Linked DNA regions of Oryzias latipes. The protein of the gene in region 1 purifies or fractionates together with the protein of each later gene. This does not show direct contact. Links are inferred from orthologs where the notes say so. Each region holds a gene or a part of one and is shown on either strand. Other genes may lie near its edges.

Region 1 (3,825 bases):
TAAATTTTGGGCGGCCGTGGTGCAGCGGTAGGGCGGTCGACCCATGATCGTAAGATTGCAGGTTCGATTCCCGCCTTGCATGCCCATGAGTCGAAGTGTCCTTGGGCAAGACACTGAACCCCACCTTGCCTCTGGTGGTAGGCGGGCGCCTGTGTTTGGCAGTGGAGCGGCCACCAGTGTGTGAATGTGTGTGTGACTGGGTGAATGGGTCTGTGACTGTAAAGCGCCTTGTCCTTGTAGGAAGAAAGGCGCTATATAAGCATACGCCATTTACCATTTACTAATTGGTTTTGTCTTGATCAAAGACAGTTTCTTCAAAAGCACTAAAAAATATCGCTGAGCCTGTTTTTATGCACTAAATATTTTAATATTATTAACCAATGTAGCAAATTCTTTTTTCCAAGTAATGTAAAATCTGATGTTCCTTATCCAATGACTTTATTCATTGGTTGTTCCAGACCAGAAGCAATTGTCGTTTCTTTCTTTGTGGAGTACAAATGGAGAACAGCAGAAAGGTGTTGTGTTACAGATGTATCAGGTCCCACATTAGTGTGGCCAACACAACGGCTGCTGGTGCAGTTAGATGACTTTTTATTTCTTTTGTATTTAATGTTTCAGGGGAAAGAGTGTTTGAGTCAGGCCACTACGCATGTACACAGTTCTCCATACTAAATTCAATAATTACCATTTAGACCTTATTTTCTAATTTTTGTTGAATTTACCTTTATCAGATTACTGTGTTGTCCAAATATTTTGGGTATGCTGTTTACTCCCCTCTACCTCTCATGTATTTGTCCATTGTTGACAGACGAGACGTATGACTTTAAATGTATAGTCCTGTGTGTCCACAACTACTAAGCTTTTATTGATGCATCATTTTATCAGAGTACTATGATTGCAGCTCCGTTCAGTATGCTGACAACTACACTTGACGGACCTTTTGAGAAGTATCTTGACCCTAGATTAAAATCTTGTGTAAACTGAGATGACGCTTATTGCACTTAACCTGTGTTCAGAGCTTTACTGTAATTGATCTGTAGTGATGGTAATTTTCAATTCTAGGTGATCAATGCAGCACTGGCCCTCGCTGCCAAACCCAATAGTAAGGTGGGCCTGGACAACATGGATTTGTTCAAGGAACAGTGGGAGAAACAAGTCCGTGTCCTCACTGATGCTGTTGATGACATAACATCCATTGATGACTTCCTGTGTGTGTCTGGTAAGAGTTGTTTATATGGACAGTGGAAATCTGGTTTAACTTTTTCTTTTTGATTTAAATAAAACTAACTATTTTTTACTTTTAAACAGTTTTAAACATTTATTTATCTGTTAAACTACACTTAGCCTTTGTTGTGATTCCTTTACCAGAGTTGTTTACTGGCTGGAGTAAACGTTTACATCTGCATCTTTACCAAATATATTTTACTTAGTTTGCCTTAAACGATTTTCATTAAACATTTTAGTAGAGTGACTTTTTGATCATTTTGTCAAGGACAGATTGTGAGTACTGCAAAGTTCCATATTTTGTTGGATTTACGTTATAAAAAGCTGAGAATTTCCCTCTTGACCATGCTTCCTTGTGGTTCTTTAGGTTTTGAGTGTCTAGTCAGAACAAGAGAATGAGAACATATCCCTTCCATTATGTTTTTAAATGTGTTTCACCCATATGGCACAAGGCACAGTTGTTGTTTTTCATAATGCTAAAATGTTTTTTTTTACGCTTTCTTCTCAGAGAACCACATCTTGGAGGATGTGAATAAGTGTGTCATTGCTCTGCAAGAGAAGGACGTTGATGGCTTGGATCGCACTGCTGGGGCCATTCGAGGACGTGCTGCCAGGGTTGTTCATGTGGTCACTTCCGAAATGGACAATTACGAACCTGGAGTCTACACAGAGAAGGTTTTGGAGGCCACCAAGCTCCTTACTAACACAGGTATTTTAAAAATGATCTGATGGGGTTTGTAAAAGAAAAGCATAAAGTTTCATCAGCCCCATTTTCTAAGCATTTTTTCTTTACAACATATTTTTCCTTTTAAAACCAAGATAAAATATGTTGGAGGGAGTTGAAATTGAATAATGACAGATCTGGAGTTGGCTCAGTAAATAAAAATTGCTTTCTGAAGTACTCTTCATTGTAATGTCGACTGAGTCAGACATCTGCAGCATTTTCTATTAGGCTGCCAGATAGAACTGAATATCTTAACCCAACTTGCATCATAGAAGTCATTTTGTCCAAATAATGTGGTATTTCATTAGCCAGCCAGCATGTATGATATGTGTTAACTTCCATTACTAGCAGGCTAACATGACAGAACGATTTTTTCGGTTGTCAGATTTAGAAATGGCTCAGCCCTCTTGAGAGTGAGCCCATTAACAGTCAGCAAATGCAGGCTGATTGTTATCTGAGGATTTCAGCTGAGGCTTGGATTTTCACGAATTCAAGTTGCCTTTTAAAAAAAATTCCTAATTTTACGATTGTCCCTAAATTCTAGTTCTTTCCTGCTCCGCTGTGCCATTTCTACTGAATGCTGATTTGAGCACATTTGAAAGGAAATTCCTATCCTGATGCTGGATTCCAAGATCACTATCAAAAGCAAAAGTATTTATTGTTTCTATGGTGTGTCATTTTGACAAACTCGTGGTAATGCTGCTTTTCTGGAAGGAAGAGGTCCTACGACAGTCCAAACTGCTGATGTTTTTGCTTCATTTTATTTTCCCTTTTAACCAAACTATGTTAAATGCTTTTATTGGGTGCATTTTTGTACTAGAATGTAATTTCTTCCCGGTTTCTTTTTTTGTTAATGGGAAGTAATTTGGAAGATTATTTTTAAATAAGCTTAGAAAAATGATCACAGCCAAAATCTGGTTATGGCCAGATTACCATATTTCTTTTTCTTTCTTTCAATATTTTACTTGATTTACATTTCTATGCAGAAGCCTGCAGGTTGTAAATGCTTTGTAAGCTCTAAACCAAATCCTCTTTGTGCACTATGCTCTACGCTGCCGCTCCCTCCCTCTACATTTGCATCCTGACATCCAGGCCTCACCCAAGAGGATGCAGCTAAATCCTAAAAACTGAACTCTAAATATTGCTGAATGCGTGGCAGAGGCTTCCAGAACTGATATCAAACTGTCACCGGGCCAAAATACACACCCAAAGAGACTGCTTTATTGTTGTAGCTTGTTGTTGTAAAACTCCCTACTTAACTGCTGTGTATCTATGTACCTCAGAAGCAATGTCTTATCTTTGTAGAATGAAGGTTTTTTTTTTTAATTCCAATTATCTGTTCCACTTTTAATTTTTCCTTTCAGTCATGCCACGATTCACACTGCAGGTAGAAGCTGCAGTCGAGGCCTTATCCAGTGGCGACCCCTCAGTGGATGAGAATGAACTAATCGATGCATCCCGTCTGGTGTACGACGGCATCCGCGACATCCGCAAAGCAGTCCTCATGATCAGAGTAAGTATTACAGATTTTCATCATCCCCAGCGTGTACACATGTTCATGTTTAAGGTTTACTCATCAACATTCAAATAAATATTTCAAAAAGTATTTTTGCTCGGCTGCACAATCTTAAAGAATTGCTGGAACTTTTAAATACTATAGTATGATCTAGGATTAGAGGGTCTTCTCCACAAGGCTTTGTTTACTAGGAAGAATGGTTGGCTTTTAAAAGCCTGTGATTAAAATGTCTAAGGAAAAAGCTGTGCTGCCTGAATAAACATGCAGTTTAGTGTAACACCAGCCTGCGTCGTCTTTGGATCAATGGCTTATTGCCTGAGCAGAACCATAAGTTAGACATGCTAATAGAAGCCACTGAACC
Region 2 (3,825 bases), on another chromosome or scaffold:
ATTTGAAAATTCATCGGTGAGGAGAAATTAATAATTGCAGTTTATGTTTGGCTGGAATTCTATGACACCAAGTCTTCCAAAGATCAGAATAGAGCCATGAAAGAAAAAGCCTGGTGCGAGATTCACCAGATTTTCACCGCTTTGACATTTCCCACCAAGCCTCTTCCAACTGTAGGTGGTGGACATGTGCTAGTGTGGGGTAGTGGACCACTGAACACTAAATGCTAAACGTGCGTTTTTGAACCCGTTTCACATGCCTGGGAGTGAACGTAGCATCAGGTACATTAATGAGACAAAAGAGTCAGAGATAGGTCTGTCTGTCAGTCTTTATTAACTGTGTTCACAGCAACTCTAGAACTTGTTTGTAACACGCTACACCTTAGACATGATAGAAAGGTTAGCCGTGTTGGCATATTTACCTGTAACTCCCAACCTTTCCAACAGGTACAAAAAAAAACAGACTGATATCACTAAAACAAACATTTCTTTGACTACACCCACTCCAAACCTTGGTAGTAACTTGCAGAAAAACACACAATGTGACACAGCTACACATTAGCCACATTAGCGTATTCACACTAACACCCAAAGTTGTTTGGAACAACAGGCAGAGTAGAGTGCCTTGTTTTTCCGTAAAATTGCTTTGACATTAGAAAACGCAAAAAGATTTAATCCATACATTAAAAAAATCAAGATTATAAAGCAGAGTGTCAGTTTTTAAAAAAAATCATGGCTTATAAATATAAACGCACCTTAAAGTGCATAAAGTATGGTATACAAAAGGGATGTAACGGTACGCTAAAATTTAAGTTCTGTTCGGGTCAGGATTTCATAGGGCTCAGTTCGGTACATTTTCAATATTTTTTTGGTACAAAAAGGCAGAAGAAATGTTCTTGCAAAATGCATTTATTGCTTTTATATAACAATAAATACAGTTGACCTATGTAGGTGATCTGCTATATAAAACAATACAACTATTGGCTGTCAGGAACCAAAAACTTTGGATACTTAACACTGGCCTGAAAAAAAAACATTTTAACTTGCACATTTTTTTTGCTTGTAGACCTGATTAATACAGTTGAGTGATTTTAGGTGCGTTAGCAGATGTGTTTCTGTGGCATATGCTATCTTCATGTAACAATGTCGTGTAACACACAGAATTCGACTTGTCCAATTTTCTTCCCCTTCAGGCAGACAACAAATCCAGTGTTCCCACACAGTAGGGAGATGGGGGGGGGTCCTTAAGTTCTGTCCTCACATCTGCATTAGCCATGCTGATACTAATAACATGCTCACTGTCACCTCCATCACCTAATAGCTGTTGAACCTGAACTGCGATGACGTTTCTGACCTTGGTCCGAAAATGCAGGGGAGATCTTCTCCGGGGCCAAAGGCGGATCTTCCTTCTGGGTTTGCTTCCCCGTTCAGACCCTCAGAGCCTCCAGAGCGGGTTGATAAAAGAACCAGTCTCCTTTCTTTTGGAGGAAACCGTTTTTATTACCGTTCCGTCGAACTGAGCAACACCCTCTTGCGGTGCCCCCCTTCCTGCAAACGCGCGGGCAGCGGCTTCAGCACAGACAACATGGCGTCTCGGTGGAAACTCACGGTTAACATTAGTTTCGCCTCGGCGCAAAGTTAATGCCTTTGGGGGGGAGGGAACCCCCCTCCTCCCCAAAAAAACCCCCGAAACATTACAAAAGTGAACTGAACCGAAATTGCTGTACCGAAACGGTTCCGTACAAATACGTGTACCGCTACACCCCTAGTAGACAATAACCAAACTAGAATTTCATGGACAACAAGCATCAAAACATGCAGACCAAGTCCAAACAGGAACAGTTCCTTTGAAAAGCTGAATTCTGCAGTCATCTTGTCCCGTATGTCCTTCCCAGTCATGCCATCATTGCAAGCAGCCCATGCAGCAGGGCGAGCCGGCCGTCTACGCCGAGCGGGCCGGCTACGACAAACTGTGGCACCCCGCATGCTTTGTGTGCTGTACCTGCCACGAACTGCTTGTGGACATGATCTACTTCTGGAAGAAAGGCAACATGTACTGTGGACGCCATTATGGAGACAGCGAGAAGCCCCGCTGTGCCGGCTGTGATGAGGTAATGGCTTTACCTCCTCTTGAATGTCTCTGCACAGTGGATGACATGAGGAAACATTCTTGTACCCGCTTTTCCCAGCTGATCTTCAGTAATGAGTACACCCAAGCGGAGGGACAGAACTGGCACCTGAAGCATTTCTGCTGCTTTGACTGTGACTGCATCTTGGCTGGAGAAACGTATGTGATGGAAAATGACAAACCCATCTGCAGGCCCTGCTACATGAAGAACTACGCTGTGGTGAGTCGCTTTCTCTGATTGGAGAACAAGCTGTTCTCAAGATCATACATTTGTCTTCTCTCTGCGTATTTTATTTATTCATTTTTTGGTTTGTTGTCTAGTATTTTGTATGCAGTAAATGAATAAAGGAAAACACATTGATAAAGACTTGTTCAGATAATGTAAGGGGGGTTAGGGTATTGCTCTTTGACACATGACAACTTTTCAATCAAATATGCGATCAACAGGAATCAACAGATTCTGATGCGATGAAAAGCAGCTTTTCAGATTGGCTTTCTGCCGATTCAGAGCAAATTACGCCACACATTCCTAACAAAGTCTTGAATAACGGCGTAATGCTGTTTTTCTCTGCGATGGAATTGGAATTACATTAATTGTTTCAATGGTTAAAGAGTTTTGGGATATTCTAAAGAACGTCAAAGGGTTAAGGAAAAGACTCCATGAAAGATGTTTCTAGAATGTTTTTTGTGTTTTTTCCGTCTTAGTCTTTAGTAAAGTCAAAAACCTTCATACCTACTCTCATAAACATCAACACTTCTTTTAAATTCCACTTTCTGATTTTATGAACATGTTCATGTCAATTTAAATGTCTCTGACAGAGTCCAGTATAAACATGGATCTGATCTGACCTGATCCTGTCGTTCCTCTGCACAGAAATGCTCATCCTGCCAGAATGCAGTGGACCCTGAAGCTCAGAGAGTTTCTTACGATGCTCTCCACTGGCACGCAGAACCGCGGTGCTTCAAGTGCTCTGGCTGCAGCAAGAGTCTGATCGGCCAGCGCTTCATGGTGGTGCAGAGTTTTGTCTTCTGCTCTGTGGAATGCAAGAAGAAAATCCTGAACTAGAGCTCCAGACCGTCCAGAAAAACCAGACCAGAAGATGGTTTTCACTGTATGAGACCTACACTGAGGAAGAGGTTCTACTGCTATTGGGGTTTAAGGGGCGTCCTCCTTCTTTGTTGCATCATTTGTGTAATTTTTGGTTCAACCTGTGTCTGTTTAGTGGAGTTTTGGGAAATTCTCACCAGAATCGCCTCCTGTTTATTTTTTAGGAACGTCTTTATGACACAGACACTGGAGGAGTATCCATCAGGGTTCGCTCCAATCACAAAACCACCACCTGATTTTTTTATATGGAATTTATGATGAGGTCTTTAAATTGAGGAACTTTTCATATGGAAAACTAGTTAACCAGTTGGATCTTTTCTGCACTGATTGTGGGACCAGGTGTAAAAACCTGCTTCATTGTTCACCGGATGTTTCCTGCTGTAGTGGATAGTTTCTCCGCTGCTCAATGCGCTACTGATCTGAGGTTTAGTCCTTCAAGTTTCTTAAAGAACATATGACTGAAAACGTAGATGCTTTATGAACAAAAGCTTCCAGGTCATGAATAGTACAAAAAAGGCAGACATGTAAATGGCTTTTCAAATGTTTGTAACTCAACCAATTCCTTGTATTCGTTCAGTGGAACGTTCCAGAT

The links.
Region 2: the proteins of ctnna1 (region 1) and tes purify together in Homo sapiens (affinity purification with mass spectrometry; 3 studies listed by BioGRID and IntAct, with this or other methods). This does not show direct contact. The link is inferred for Oryzias latipes from reciprocal best matches to the Homo sapiens genes CTNNA1 and TES.

What each region holds. Positions count from the first base shown.
Region 1 is NC_019868.2:19,932,343-19,936,167, forward strand, and holds part of ctnna1 (catenin alpha-1), read left to right. Parts: intron 1-1,062; coding exon 1,063-1,219; intron 1,220-1,732; coding exon 1,733-1,933; intron 1,934-3,312; coding exon 3,313-3,461; intron 3,462-3,825. UniProt on the Homo sapiens protein: Associates with the cytoplasmic domain of a variety of cadherins. The association of catenins to cadherins produces a complex which is linked to the actin filament network, and which seems to be of primary importance for cadherins cell-adhesion properties.
Region 2 is NC_019864.2:2,898,356-2,902,180, forward strand, and holds part of tes (testin), read left to right. Parts: intron 1-1,892; coding exon 1,893-2,108; intron 2,109-2,186; coding exon 2,187-2,345; intron 2,346-2,999; coding exon 3,000-3,191; 3' UTR 3,192-3,825. UniProt on the Homo sapiens protein: Scaffold protein that may play a role in cell adhesion, cell spreading and in the reorganization of the actin cytoskeleton. Plays a role in the regulation of cell proliferation. May act as a tumor suppressor. Inhibits tumor cell growth.